Arabidopsis thaliana: one gene and its partner. The protein of the gene in region 2 interacts with the protein of the main gene of each other region in a pairwise test. Each region holds a gene or a part of one and is shown on either strand. Other genes may lie near its edges.

Evidence for each region. Proteins that work in one complex are often made in the same cells at the same time.
Region 1: the proteins of AT1G44830 (region 2) and BHLH100 interact in a two-hybrid assay, tested with the Arabidopsis thaliana proteins (one large-scale study listed by BioGRID).

What each region holds. Positions count from the first base shown.
Region 1 is NC_003071.7:17,195,450-17,203,839, reverse strand, and holds BHLH100 (basic helix-loop-helix protein 100), read left to right. Parts: upstream 1-4,385; 5' UTR 4,386-4,519; coding exon 4,520-4,801; intron 4,802-5,062; coding exon 5,063-5,509; 3' UTR 5,510-5,803; downstream 5,804-8,390. Other genes in the region: AT2G41250 (Haloacid dehalogenase-like hydrolase (HAD) superfamily protein), read left to right, coding at 1,289-1,579, 1,839-1,945, 2,226-2,334, 2,419-2,580, 2,682-2,855, 2,949-2,978; ORS1 (ORGAN SIZE-like protein), read left to right, coding at 8,215-8,390; AT2G41231 (uncharacterized protein), read right to left, coding at 7,925-8,019, 8,309-8,390. UniProt on the Arabidopsis thaliana protein: Plays a role in metal homeostasis. Confers tolerance to high zinc (Zn) and nickel (Ni).
Region 2 is NC_003070.9:16,929,896-16,938,179, forward strand, and holds AT1G44830 (Integrase-type DNA-binding superfamily protein), read left to right. Parts: upstream 1-3,803; 5' UTR 3,804-3,896; coding exon 3,897-4,532; 3' UTR 4,533-4,673; downstream 4,674-8,284.

The sequences.
Region 1 (8,390 bases), on a different chromosome or scaffold from region 2:
AAACTTGAGAAGAAACGTCGTTTTTGAACGTTAACTCAAAATTCTCCAAAATGGGTCCAATTATGGATTTATGTTTCCTTATCCATAAGACTTTTTCTAATCTTCTTTAACATCGTGATGTCTTATTATACCACATAGACACATACGTATAAAGGACTCATTGTCTATCCAAAGAAACACTAAACCAAATCTTATTTTGTTCGTTTTTCCATACGAAATGATGAAATCGACCAAAAAGCTCATGAAATAAACCAAAGCCATAAAATTTTGTGGAACAAAACATTTTCCTTAGCCATGTTGGTGAATTCGGCATTTTGTTAATAGTCAATCAAATTATGCATAAAATGGCCCAAAACTATATACTCCTTAAATTTTGTGGCCCATATTTGTCAACACGTGGGCCCGTTTGTCAATTTATAAGCCACGAATTTCTAAAGAGGTCCCTCTAAAATAGACCAGTTCTTCAATTGTATCCTTATATTACTTTGCATGACACATAATTGGTTAGGGCCCAATTTTCCCACTTCTTTTCTTTTCATGACTTTTATCCAAAAATATTTGTGGATAAAACTTTTTATCCTTGTCGATGTGAAAGCTAAAATTTAATGAAGCTTAAGCTTAACCGTTTTTCCACGAAATAATAGTATCCTTCTCGATGTGAAAATAAATACTACAAGAAAACTAATTGTATGCATTTATTCCTTTTTATTGGCTAATTTGATGTTTCAACAACGTAATATATCATCAATCAGACAAGTAGACGTTTGTGAATTCTTGAAGAATATCTGCATGTAAAACACGGATCCATATATCAATAATCAATATATAGAACAAGATAAATAATTCTGATTGAAAAAGAAATAATGATAAATCTTTTTTTACTTTTTGTTTTTTTATAAAGAAAGATAAAGCTATTTTTGTGTGTCAAGTACATAACTTTAATCTGGATCTCAACTTTAAAAACCAAAATTCAAAACACAACCCTTTCTTCATATCTCAGGATTATAAGACTCATATGGTTTCTTTAACAAAAAAAAAAAACTCATGATTAAAGATTAAGAGTGTAATAACAAGTTTTTAAAAATGCCACATCATCAGTTCTTCTGATTAGCGGATAGGGTAGAAAAACTGTAGACGGATAATAATATGAAAGGGTATAACCGTAACAACACATCTCTCTTTATGCGTTAAAGATTCTCCGCACACGCTTCTTCTCCTTTTATAATCCCCAGACGAAGACGAAGCCGAAGATAACGGAACAATCAAATCAATCATACAGAAGCAGCTAATGGCGTTGAGAATCAGGAAGGCGACGACGACACTTCTCTTCTCCGGTGGGATTACTCATGGAACGGATCGGATCGCGAGAACCGGAGCATTGCTCAGCCGTTGGATCTCCTCTGCTTCGTCATCTTCCGCTGTTGTAGCGGATGATGAATCTAGTGGGATTTACGGATTGGGAAGTGTGTTGAAAGAGTATGAAGATTATAGGAGATCTCTCTATGGTGAGATCACTCATAAGGCTTTGCTTGTTGATGCTGTTGGTACTCTCCTTGTTCCCGCTCAACCTACTGCTCAGGTCTCTCAAATTTCTCTGTTACTTTGTGTGATTCAACAGTTGAACAAATGCTTCACATGTTTCTTGCTCTGTGATTGAAATTTTTTAGAAAGCTATGAGCATTTTGAGGATTCATGTTTGATTCTGAGTAAAAATTTGATGCTTATTGTTATGTTAAGAATGTCTTAGGCTTTTTATGATCTCTGTTTGTTCTTAGAAGAGTAGATAGAGATTTTTATTGTGTAGATTCTAAGATGTGTTATGGATTCTGATTTTGTAGATATATAAGAATATTGGAGAGAAGTACGGAGTGGAGTACTCGGAGGCTGAGATACTTACTAGATACAGAAGAGCTTATCAGAAACCATGGGGTGGATCTCATCTTAGGTATTTAGAATCATCTTCTTTCTCTTTTTGTTTCTTCTACTCCAAGAAAATCACCACTAGGCAAAATGTTCTTTTGTGGCTTTCTATTTGTTTGTATGACAACTTTTAATACTTGATCATGATTATGACTCTAGTGATGCATCTCCGTACAAAGATATCTGGTTTAATACTGACTCTTTCGAATATACATTTGCTGTGGAATCTCTGTTGGATTCATAAATGGGTCTGCTTAAGACATTTACTTCTGTGCTGGTCTTGATTTTTGATTCTTTGTTTGTAGATATGTAAACGATGCAAGACCTTTCTGGCAGTATATAGTGACTGCATCAACAGGCTGCTCGGATTCACAGTACTTTGAAGAGCTTTACAGCTATTTTACTACAGAACAGGTTTGATCTCTACTACTACTTCTCCATATGCTTCAGTAATAGTTTTGGTTCTTTCTCTTGAGATTTCTCCATTTGCTTTCCCAGGCGTGGAAGTTATGTGATCCAGATGCAGGGAAAGTGTTTAAGGCTATTAAAGAAGCGGGTGTAAAAGTTGCAATAGTCTCCAACTTCGATACTCGGTTAAGACCTCTCCTACGTGCATTGAGATGTGAAGATTGGTTTGATGCTGTAGCTGTTTCAGCAGAAGTAAGATAACCTCTTTTCGTTTATATATTTTTGTTGATGATCCGAAACGTTTTGGGAGTGAGTGTGTAAATACTTAAGGTTTTTGGTTGAATGTTTAACAGGTTGAAGCGGAAAAACCAAACCCGACTATCTTCTTAAAAGCTTGTGAGTTATTAGAAGTGAATCCCGAGGATGCGGTTCATGTAGGAGATGACCGTAGGAATGATGTATGGGGAGCTAGAGACGCAGGCTGTGACGCTTGGCTCTGGGGAAGTGAAGTTACGTCATTTAAACAGGTAAACGAATCTCTCTGGTTTTGCTCAAATCTCTCAAGAATTTAAAAATCATTGGTTTACTTGAAATGAATGTGCTTTTGTTTTGTTCTGCAGGTTGCTCAACGGATAGGAGTGAAGGTCTGAAGCAAAAGCATATGAGAGAAATGGTTCAGAGACATGTTCAGACTTCAGTTTTAGCTTCTTCTTTTTTTGTGTGAGCAGTTTTGTATATTCCATTTCTCTTTTGTAGCATAATGTGTGTAATATATGTTGCGGCTAATGTAGAAAACCAGAAAACAATGTATAATAAAAGATCAATAATAAGCTTCATGATCGTTCTTAATCCGAACCGAAGTGTTGTACTGTTTTCGACATTTGCTTATAAAAGAAGGAGAATTGAGTTCTTTAAATATGTGATCAAGAAGAGATCAAGAAAAATGGAAATTTAGAGTTGAACCTAGGCAACGTATGGACAATACCAAAAGTTGCCAACATATCAATGGATAAATCTAATCAAACTGTATCTGTGATTATTGTGGGTTGTATTTTAACATTATGTTCATAATTGTTGACAAATAGTCAAATACTTCACATTTTAGAGATTATCTACATATAATGGGCTACAAACATGTAAACTCATTGCAAAAAAAAGAAAAAGAAAAAGCAATTATCTTAGGGCCAATTGTTTTTAGAGAAGCCCATTTAGATCTTTGGATTTAAAGAGGCGTAAATAGAATGAGGAAAAATCCAAAATATCTCCGTCTCTCTTTTATCCTCGTCCATGGATAATAGAATAGAATCAAGGCTTTTGGCCTGACCGAGATGACCGGAGTTGACTTGTGTAATATGATCAGAAAGGCTATAATATAATACAAAATAAACGATAGACACTACACCATATAAGATGTAATTAATAAATTTAAATAAGGAATATACATTTGTTAAATATTTGTAAACACTTAATGCCTACGTATATACTACATAGAAATGGTTGGATTCAGGAGAAAAGCCTTAACATATTCCACGTGATTTGCTCGTGCCTCTCAATAGTCCACGTCCACCAAACCCGTGTATCCTCGTGTACTTCTTCTCAGTGTCTGTCTCTTTTCTTCCAGCTGCGTCATAATTCATATTTTTGGTCTTAGTTTACTTAACGTATTTGTGGTAGAAAAATGTGATTGCATATTCTGTATCTTCTTATAGTAGTTGTTCCTATTTAACTGTTATTTTTTGCTAACTAAATAATTTGCTTAATAAATCGAATTTCTATTTTGACACATTATAAAATATTTAGAATTTTTGATTAATACTCATACATTCATATTCATGTAATTATACGATACAATAGTGTAAACTTATGTTATAAATTACGATAAGAACATTAGGATATTAATGCCTGTATCCGGAGGTCAACAGGTGATCCTTGGAACATGCTCCTACTTGGGGGAAAAGTGCTCAACCACGTGTCAACGCATGTCCACTCGTGACCCAATGTATTTTAATTTATTACATATACAACACAGAGTCATTAGTATTTTTCTTGTGTCCGTGTGTGTGTATCAGTGTATATATAAACAAAAATGAGTGTCCACATAAATAATCCAACTAACACATCAGCATAATCCCAACCGAAACAGCTTCTAGAGAGAGACAAAAAAGAACAGAGTAACTATCTAAAACTCAAAATGTGTGCACTTGTCCCTCCATTATATCCCAATTTCGGCTGGCCTTGCGGAGATCATAGCTTCTATGAAACCGACGACGTATCCAACACGTTTCTTGATTTTCCGTTGCCGGACTTGACGGTGACTCATGAGAATGTGTCGTCTGAGAATAACAGAACATTACTAGACAATCCCGTGGTGATGAAGAAGCTTAATCACAACGCGAGTGAACGTGAGCGTCGCAAGAAGATCAACACAATGTTCTCATCTCTTCGTTCTTGTCTTCCTCCCACCAATCAAACGGTAACTGTTAATTCTATATACTTTTCTATTTCTAAAATTATGAAAAAATTTGAAAGTTTAGTTTAATATTCAACAGAAACAAAAAAATATCAAATGTTTTCTTGCAAATGCTAAAAGTTGTTATTCATTGCTTTTGCAATTTTGGTGTTGATACAAACAGTGATATGTTTTGTTTTTTCTAACGCAAAGAAGGAAAAAAAAATCGGTCCCAAGTAACATAAACTGAAAGATCTGTCCTATTTTTTATGTATTTTCTTGCAGAAGAAGTTAAGTGTTTCGGCAACAGTTTCACAAGCATTGAAGTACATACCAGAGCTGCAAGAGCAAGTTAAAAAGCTCATGAAGAAGAAAGAAGAGCTCTCGTTTCAAATTTCGGGTCAAAGAGATCTCGTTTACACCGACCAAAACAGTAAGTCAGAGGAAGGGGTTACAAGCTATGCGTCGACAGTTTCTTCGACTAGGCTCAGTGAGACTGAAGTGATGGTCCAAATTTCATCGTTACAGACTGAAAAATGTTCGTTTGGGAATGTCTTGAGTGGTGTAGAAGAAGATGGGTTGGTTCTTGTGGGTGCTTCATCTTCAAGGTCTCATGGAGAGCGACTCTTTTACTCTATGCATCTTCAGATAAAAAATGGCCAGGTGAATTCCGAAGAATTAGGTGATAGATTGTTGTACTTGTACGAGAAATGTGGACACTCGTTTACATGATTTAATAATTAACGATGCTATATATATTTTTTCTGTTTTGTCTCTCGTTAAAATTCGAGGTTCTTTTTAGAAATAGGTTTTTTTTTTGTATATTAATTTTAATATATTATATTATTTTGGCGAAATGAAAGTTTCACGGGCAAACGTTTTGGTACCGATTTGGAAGGAGAACAACGCGAACATGGGTTGTGTGCAACAGTGTAAAGGTTTATATATCTGTGTATATTTTATGAGGATTTGTCATCTCACATCTGTGGTTACACACCGATGTCATATGTGGACACTAATTATCTGAAAGTCTTTAACAAAAAAATCATCTGAAGTCATTTTTTTAACCTTTCGTATTCAATTTTTTTCCGTTTGATTCGGCAAAATTACATATTTAAAAACCCTGAAATCAAAACAGAAGCACATAACTTATGGATGGTGAATCAGTGTTTAAAAACACATAATAATCTTCCCAATTATCAAGCCTGCCTGATCTAAAATTAGGTGAATGATCGCTTTTGGGCCTTAATTGGAAGAATAATTTTGGCCCATTTTGTTTCAAATAAATACTAAGGCATATTTGTTTGCACCAAAAAAAAAAAAAACAAGCATATTTGTAAATTAAAAATAATATCCTAATAAAATACCTAATCTTATTTTCAAATTTAGTTTTTAGTGTCTTAAATTTTAACATGATCGATTATATTACCTAGCTATGTAATTTATAATATACAAAGAAAACCAAAAGATCTTCGAAATGTTTAAGTCTTTCTTTCTAGTTTGTCTTACCATAAATTCTTTAACCAAAAACTGCAAAGGGAATAACTTTTCTGGGTCGACTGCATCAACGAAGCTGTAAAGGCCTACCAAGTTGAGAAGGAGCAGACCAAATAAAAAATGAAACTACTTAAAATAGAAAAATGTTGAATATAAACCAAATGGTCAAATAATAAATACCAAAGAAAGGCCAAATCCACGGGAAAGCATATAAAACCACTGCTGTTAGGTGCAATGCATCCTCCATATTCAAAATCTACGAATAATGAAAATTTCTCGATTTTTTATTTTGCTGGCACCACCCAACTTGCTTTACTATTTCATTAAATTCGGCAAATGCTCTATTTATTTTCATTAATATTACATCTTGTATTTAATATTGTGTTACTGAAATACGTTTGCCGTTTTTAAAGAGTTCGTATAAACCATTAGGCTATCAACTTTGTGTTTTTAGTGTGATAAATAATGTTTTTGCAGGAAGTGAAATTTGCTAGTTAAAATATTATTCAAAATTATCAAATTAAACATAATTTACCTATACTGTTTATTGACTTTATTCCCTTTTTTTTTTCCTTTTTTCTGTTGGTTTAGTTTATCAATTGTTCCTGCTATCTAATATGAGAATTTCTTCTATTTTACTACATAATTCAATTATTTTGGTTGAAGAAAATGATAGATAATAGCCAATTCTTTTCTGTTAGTTAAAAAAGAAGTCTTTTAAAATTTTATTTTGTTTAATGTAAGTTTGTGATTTTCTCAAGGAGGAGAAATGTAGACAAAGGACCTCATTGGGACTCCAACAAAACAATGTACAACAGGAAAGTACATCAGCCTCCGGTCCCCGTCAACTTACCTATAACATCTAAAAAGCATTGGGATGTTCATGCATCTACCTTTTCTCTTTGCTTGCAGTAAAAAACATTTCTTAAGCCTCTATTCTTCTAGAAGTTTCAGTACTACTAATAATAATCATGTACCTAGATTATTTTTATTTTTTTGTTAAGAAACTAGATTAAATTCCTATTACAGTTTACTTTTTACAATGGAATCTAACAACAACACCAACACCAACAGAGTCTCATTAGCTACTGAAACTAACATAATGGATTACATTGTCGATTCTAAAAAGTAAGGTTAAAATATATTACGTAAACTAAATTTTCTTTTGCTATTAGTACGTAGTGTGGTATATCATTGATGATAAATTGCAAAATTAGTTTGTATTTCGTTTTAGACAGAAGTAATAGTAACAATTATGGTTGAAGCCAACAAACACGAAAGAGAGTAAAAAACTAAAAACAAGGCTGGAGAGTGAAATTAGTTGATTACTTGAATCAAGACATATAGACATAAATCACAGCTGTGACCTGAAACCGGCACTTTGGAATTACCCTTTTTGCACATTTCTTGACTATGCATTTATATCCTTCTAATGCAAAATCTAACTCCCTACTTGATTAGTCTTAAGTTTTCTCAAGTGGGGTTCTATTATTTATTTATTATTGTAACTTGGCCCTTTTGTTACTTTGGACAGGGTCTATCATCGACAAAAGAAAAAAAAAGTAATATTACCACTAATCAAAACATAAAGAAATATTACATTTTTTGTCAACATAATCATAAATACCTAAACCACTAAATACAATTCAACTAAATAATTTGGTAAATAATCTGGATGAGAAAGAAAAAAATGTTACAAAGATATATTTTTTGGATTTTCCTTAAAAATTTTTTTTTTTTTTTTTCTAGCTAAGAAAAATTAAAATTTTGTTGGGTTGTCAAAAATATACAAGCTATACATACACGTATACACAAATATAGAGATAGACATTTCAACTTTCCCAATTGCCAGTATATATAACAAAAGCCAGAGACAAAGGGAGAAGGATCTAAGACATTTATCAAAAACAAAAAGAGTTGATAAACTACAGTAATGGAAAATGAGGGTTCATGATCAACGGCTGAGATTTGATGTCACACCCAAGCCGATGGGTTTGAACGGAAGTTCTTTGATCACGGCAAGATCCGTCGCACTTCTTCTCTTTCTCTCTCTGCTTCTTCTGATTCTGCCACCGTTCCTGCCGCCGCTTCCACCGCCTCCGGCGACACTCCTCCT
Region 2 (8,284 bases):
AGGTGCTCTAAGGATCCAAAAAAGAAAGATTACCCTAAAACTCTAATTATTGTTGAGTCGAGGCTACTTAGTGACATAGGTAAACAAATCAATTTCCTTAAGCGCTTTTCATGTACAACTACAGTATAACCTCTATAAATTAATACTCGATAAATTAATAATCTCTATAAATTAATAAATTCTTCCGGTTCCGAGTTGGGACCAGTGTAAAAAGTAACACAAATCGATAAATTAATAAGATAATAATTTTTTTTAAAGTCTTATGTAAATATATGGTCCCATCAATATTATAAATTAATAATTGCATAAATATATCAATTATATATATACATTATATGTAAGAAATTTCTTTGAAACATATTTCTAATATTGTTTTGCTTAAATTTGTATTTATTCTTATTTGAAATTTAATTCTAATATGTTACTGTATCAAAAACTTTTACTGTTGTTTTCTATACATGATATTATTTTTAACTTGTAATTGATTCTACAAAGATATTTTCTAGAAAAAAGAATCTTATAGAAATGTTTTAAAAGTTACTAAATTAGGAAAGTCTCTCTATAAAATTTATTAATTTATCGATAAATTAAAACCTCTCTAAATTAATAAAATTTTACAATCCCAACATTATTAATTTATAGAGGTTTTACTGTATATTTCTAAAAATCAAGGTATATATTACCATCACCCTTACCAATCAAGCACAATGTCCTTGTTGCGTATCAGGGCCGTCATTTTCGATGGTGGGAGGTCACATGACTCCACACTCATCTAGGTTCAACTTTGATACCATTTATAGCGCCTCGAGTACCATTATCTAGGCCTTCATATCCACTCTCAACCTAAGGACCCTAACATCAAGTGATAGCTAGTGCACACCTATCATTTCTATAACTCATGGACCCCAAAAGCAATATTTTTTGTACCTCGTCCTAAAAAATATTTAGAGCTAAATTAAGCGTGTTTGAACTAAAATCATTGTTTTCAATGCATTGAAAAAAGGATTCAAAGATGAACGCACGACGAGATATCCCAACAAATTACAGATGTGGAAATGGGCTATTTAAACATTAGGACAAAGCTTTTGCCAAGATCGGACATCATTTGAAGACGTCAATGATGTCCATATGTTGTTCTAAGATAGGCTTCTTGACCATATGTTGATTCACAAACGCACTCAAATAGATTTAGACGATTGACTCTATATCTAACTAGGCAATATTAATCTCCTGCAGTGAACTTTGATGTAGCTCCTACAATTTGGAGCCAAGGTGGGAAAAACGAACCAGGCTTGAATCAATTTTACAGTATCAAAGAAAAAATATGTAAATTTTGGAGTATTGTCTCCTACTGAATTCACTCAACAACCACAACTAAAATCTTGAAATCTCTATTGTCATAAATCTTTTCTGCTTCTAGGAAATTTCTCAATCTAATGAAATCAAAAACAAAGGATTTGATTCTGTTCTGTCACAATCCACACATGTGCATTTGCCTCTACACCATCCAACACACTCTTCAATCCTAATGAGAAACTTCTCCGTACGTTCCTCTTAAGTTTCCACCACACGAATTTATTTCCACTCTGGCTTAACTCGTTACCATTAAATGTTTCTTTCTAATTTATTTCTTGTAACCACAAAACTTTGTTAAATATTTCTTGTAAGAAAAATATTGATTGATTGATAAGAAAGGTACGGAAGGTCATATATTGAGTACGGTGCCAGGTAAGATTGTCCAAACTACGAATAGGATATTTTTAGTGCAAAAGTACATGCATTATGCATGAATCTTCATTTATGATTCTATTTGTCTATTTCCTCAGGTAGGGTTCGCTCACTATTCTTCGTTAGGTAGCTAGCTTAATTGCTTTAGCTTCTCGGATTTTACCCGATCCGATCACTCAAGCTTTATGACACAATGTAACTCATCTTCTTCTTGTTCTTACACAGTTACACGTATAGCTTCAGACTGTCGAGCTCTAGACACTAAAACAATCAACAAAGAATGTGATTGGGTGAATATGGTGACATTGTGGTGAAAAGAAAATATTTATTGGTAAATAAAAATAAATGTAAAATAGTGAATTAGTTAAATGGTATGAAATGGAGATATCTTTCGGTGAATGAGAATGTTATAGTTGTTTTTAGAAAATAGCAAAGTCATATTGGTAAAATATTGAGAGAAAATGTAAAATGTTTTTTTTCCGTAAATGACTTTGAAAAGTATAATTTATTTGATAAGCTTGGATATACAAATATTTTAACCCGCTAAATAATATAGATATATCCAAAAACATAGATAACATGATTATATGACAAAAACATAAATATGTTTTATAAATTAGATGTCTACATAACGAAAATAATGTAGTAGAGGAAATGTGTTCTACAAGTTGTAGATATAAGAGCCAAAACATATAAAAACTTCATTTTGATAAATTAGATGTGCACATAGAATACTAATGTTAAAGAATTCGTCACGTAAGATTTAGTTATAACTATTATTTTTCTTAAAAGAAAGTAAAATAGTCAAAATTTGAATCATTCTCTTTAGATGGAATTAATTTGATTATTTATTCAAATACCACGTTTGTAATTACAGTCATTGAGTGCAAATATTAATATAAAAATGGTAGAACATTGTTGGTTTTGTTTTATCATAAACTTTTGTAAAATGTTGCCTGCATTTTCCAACGAACAATTCTGTTGATTCGTTTCTTGATATGAATAAAAAACCTTCATTATTGTTATATTATAGTACCCCAAAAGAGAAAAAAGAAATAGAGTCGTCTGGCTAGAACGTGAACACGAATAGATTAGTTTAGTAGTACTCTTACGCGTCTTAATTTAATTCTAGTGCCGACTAAATATAACCGCAGATTAGTTTAGTTAATAAACAGTGCAAGACTATTATGAGGTTTGACGATTTTACTTTAGTTTATTTAGTTAGTAGTACAATATTATTTAATATTACAATGCAGTTTGACAAAAGAATCTGAATTTAATTAATTTAGTAAAAGCCTTTTTACAGAGAGAATTTTACGTGTGACAAGGAGACACAAAGAGCTAGTTAACGCGGTTTTAAAAGTCCCATTAAGACAGAAGAGCACCAGCTCTTGTGCATTACCTTGGTAAACATGACTTCAGCTACTTTAACGTTTAAGATTCTGAATTATGTTTAGGCCTTTTAACCAAAAAAAAAAACTTGTAATTTTTGTATTATATATATATATATATATATATCTATAATCATGCATGTGATTTCATTTTGCATCTCATTTATCAAAATAATTCGATAGTTAAATTATTCTTATGATTAACTTTGTCTTTTGTTTGTACCTTAAAAAATCACATGCTCTTAGCTCCTAGAAGTTGCCTCTAAAAATAGAATCCAATGTTTCCTCTTATAATGTTTTATAACTTTCTGTCGTATCTTGATATTAATATTCTCATATGAGTACTGATTTTTGTTATTTACATTTTTATTCAAGATTCTGAGGCTCAAGAAGTAGTAACTTTTAGTTGTAAACAATAGTGTACTTTTGTGGAACTAAAGAATTAGCTTGGAGCCTTGGAGGTCAAATCAATAAATATGCATTTTTGAAAATAAAAAATAGGGATTCTCTTATTAGTGATCTGTGATTGGGTGTAGCATATGGGATTGTGATTAAGGAAAATCTTTTTTATAAATAAATTAAAAACACCTGTCTCTTACATTATTTAAAAGAAAAGTATTAATCTCTTTGTGTGTGCCCCATGCTACTTTCTTTGACTATGTTCATAGTATTTTTTTTTCTTTTGAGTTCTTTATGTTTCTCTTTCCATTTTTGTTCTCTATAAATAGAAACACACCATTCTTCTCCTCCAACTTCCTCCCTTAATTAGTATCAAAAATGGTGAAAACACTTCAAAAGACACCAAAGAGAATGTCATCTCCATCATCATCATCTTCATCATCCTCATCAACATCATCATCATCCATAAGGATGAAGAAGTACAAGGGAGTGAGAATGAGAAGTTGGGGTTCATGGGTTTCAGAGATCAGAGCTCCTAATCAAAAGACAAGGATCTGGCTTGGTTCTTACTCAACTGCTGAAGCCGCGGCTAGAGCCTACGACGCAGCACTCCTATGTCTTAAAGGATCCTCAGCTAATAATCTCAACTTCCCAGAGATCTCAACTTCTCTCTACCATATTATCAACAATGGTGATAACAACAATGACATGTCCCCTAAGTCTATACAAAGAGTAGCAGCTGCAGCTGCTGCTGCCAACACAGATCCTTCCTCATCATCAGTCTCTACTTCATCTCCATTGCTTTCCTCTCCATCTGAAGATCTCTATGATGTTGTCTCCATGTCACAGTATGACCAACAAGTCTCCTTGTCTGAATCATCATCATGGTACAACTGCTTTGATGGTGATGATCAGTTCATGTTCATTAATGGAGTCTCCGCGCCGTATTTGACAACATCACTTTCTGATGATTTCTTTGAGGAAGGAGATATCAGATTATGGAACTTCTGCTGATTCTACTTTCATTATACCTTATTCTTTGTTTCAATATATATACTTGAGTTATGTAACTTATACAATGTGTTATACATTTTTTTCTTCCCTTTTCTATCAATTCTCACAATGTATGGAACATTTGGGGATCTTTGTACCAATATCTAAATTATTTTTGAAATTAGATATTTTTCATGTTAAGAGTTCACTAAATCTAGTAGTAGTGGTTAAGTATGGAAATAGATTTATAGCTTTTGAACAAAGAACTTCGAATGATAACAAGTTAAAAGGTAAAAACGAAAAAGTACAGAATCATATTGTTGTTGATTAAATTCTGAAACCTAAAAGTTAAGAGTTAGTGTTGAAAACAATCATTTCAGATTTTATAGTATGAATGCAAAATTTGGCGTTACTGACTTTAACACTAACACTGTTTGATGTAAATGTGTACATGATACAAAATAAGTGGTGGTAAGATGACTATGCGATATAAGTACTGTATATATGATTTTTCTTTATTAAGGATATAAAAGTATTAGCTAATGAGTTAAACAGAAAGCAGATTTTTCATGTGAAAAGTTTTGCAAAGTCAAAGAGTAAGAAGCAAGTTTCATGAGGCTTGTCATAGAAGGCGATGATTAATCCTACTTAATTATTGTTGAATAGAGTAAGTGTATAAATATTATTTATTTAGAAGAAAGATAAGGAAAAAGAGAGAAGAGACAAGAGATGCAGAATGGTTTTGTGTGGTGACTGGTTAGAATTGGTAAAACCAAAGAGAAAGAGTTAACGTACGTGGAAAACTGTGTACGTTTGTGCTTAGATATCGTAAAAAAATTGACATCCATTTTACTCCAACATTGGTCTGAAGAAAAATCTAACAGTAGATTTGAGCAGAAAGCCACATGAGTTGTTTTGGTTTCTTGTTATGTGTGTGTTCTTTGTGAGATGGGGTCCCATGATTCACTCTCTTACCCTTGCTCCTCAGAAACTCCATCTCTATTTTTTTAGGTATGATTTGTTTTTCTTTAGATAAGTTCCCCCCCCCCCCCCTCAAATATACATTAATACCATTGGTGATACAAAACCATACAAGTTTGTTATAGGTAAAAGAAGGTATAAGCAATATCGGAATAGTTAAAGGCGGTGAAAATTAACTTTGAAAATAAAGACTAAGAATGATGCTTTTGGTAAAACTTTTGTGATTGGTAATTACTTTTAAGACTCCGATTGGTGATAAACAAAAGAAACGATAGGAATATGAATGAAAAATAACAAAAAGAAACAAGAAAAAAAGAAAAATGGTCATAAGTAGGAACCAAGAGGAACATAGGAATTGAACAAAATGATTATGGTAAATGGTAACCAGAAAGGTGAATTAATATTTAACATAATAATTACTAAAAAATTATTTATTGAATTTTGTTTATTAATTTCTTTTAAAATTAAAGTTTTGTATAAATTTAAAATAAATTATATTATAAATTTCTCTTCAAAACATTTATTTATTTTATAGTAAAAAATTCACTTTAAAACATTTATTTATACTAATTTAAAATAAATTCATAACATTCATTAAATTGAAAGTTTGATAAAAAACAATTTATATATCAATATATACTAAATATATGGAAAATTTTATATATATAATTATAAATATTATCATAAAAGCTATTTTAAATTTATTTAATAAATAAAAACGAATTTTATTTTTTTTGTTTCTCTTGGTTCCTCTACAATTTTGGAGTGGAACAATTTTGTTCTACCATTCTTTTTTTTTAGGAATGATAAGAAAAAATGTAGGACCCATATGTCTGAAAATGAAACAAATATACCTTGCAAATGATAAAAAAAAAACTGAGGAACAAAGATGAACACGACTTTCGTACTCATTTTTTTCCTCAAAAATGGTTAATAATCGGAGCCTAAGACATTTATTTTTGTAATCCACTTGTAGGGCCATTTATGGGAAAATCTTACAACTAAACATGTTTGATACAAAATAATCAAAGGATTGTCTATTATTCTGCTGAATTTGTTGTTTTCAATACACATGTGAGTCATGCAAAATCAAGTGGTAAAGAGTAACTGTCAGTCAAACCAAACCTTCGAGATCTCCATATGAACGTTTGTATTGCCAGAATAAAACGTTTTTAAGGTATTTTGTTTAATTATAAACGTGATTATGTTGACAAAAAAACGATGACAAAGTCACTCTACCAATTCAATTTTTTTTTTTGTCTCACGTTAAATAAGATATTAAAATGAAAGATGACAGTTTTCTGTGTTTGATTATTGAACGTTCAAAAACAGTGAAATGAGTAGGATCAAAATGATAATGAACAATGTTGATTGCTGAATAATGTGTTCGAGTATCTTTATTTTTCCTTTTTTTAGGGAGGTTTTGGGGAAAACCTGTAATTCTCTAGACCCAAAAACAAAATATATAATATTAGTTTTGTCCCTATCGTCATTCGAACCGGTGACCTTAAGTTTTGTCTAGCATCTTTACTAATTGAGCTAATGAGACTTGGTTAATTATCTTTCTAATTTTATTTTTATTTTTGTTTTTTGCAAAATCTTTGACCCATTAACAAAAGAAATTGATAGATACTAGTATACTCAACTAATGCCATAAAAAAAAAATCATTGCAATTTGTATATATACAAACAAGTTGTAAATTGACCATGCCTATATGTTTTCTTTGCCGTCATTTGATTGTCTTCGAGCAGATAAATATCACTGAAAAAAACTTACTAAAAATACTGTAATTAGAAATTTGGGTCTGAGTTTCTGACATGGGCTTGTGGTTATAGTTGGTCCCATGAAAAGTGCCTTACATTCATTTTTCTTTCACCTTTCACATGACATATTCTCCGGATCGAGACGAGTTTTTTCTTTTCAGGGGATATCTTAATGATCTCCCAAAACACATAACATGGCATTATTTTTCTCAATGATTTATGTTTAAAAGTTTTAGAGAACATTCATAGAACAATATTTATAATTTTGATTCGGAAAAGGAAAACCAAACACTTTTTGGTGTTATGTAGCTAAATACAAAAGACAAAGAAACTTGGTGTTGCTAAATCACTAGGCAGTATTTGAAATAGATCCAACATTGGTCGTGAAATCATGATCTCAATTATATGTTTATGTTGTCTCATTATAACGAATATTAAATCGTGTAATGTTAATTGATTTGTCATTTGTCAATTATACTAAGATTGCGATTTCACGATGGCTAGACAATCCATTATACGCCTATTTTAGTTATTGTAAGTATTTTATGGTTCCAATATGCGAACCGGGGGTTGTTAATTGTTTAACATACTCGGACTAATGAACTCTATAAATTCTTTTTTCCTATACTAATTACTTTAGCGGTTTAGCCTAGTAAATACATACACGAACTTTTCAAAATGACCATAAGCTAAATGCTACTAGTCTATCTCATTATCGACTTAGCAGGAGAAAGCAATCTTAATTTTCCTCTCTTCCTGTTTGTTTCTCATAATTAGGGTTTCGTTTTGCGGACACTTTACCTCTAAAATGGCTTATAGCATCTCCAACCCTACTCTATTTTAGAGTCAAAATGCAAAATTCTTCTCCAACCCTACTCTATAATTGACTCAAAAATAGAGATTTCTACAGATTGACTCTATATATAGAACAACTCTATCCTCAACTCTATTTTTGAGTTCAATTTTTTTATTTATACTTTAGTCCCTCAAATTTAAACTTTTTTTATTTAATGCATATAATCATTTTA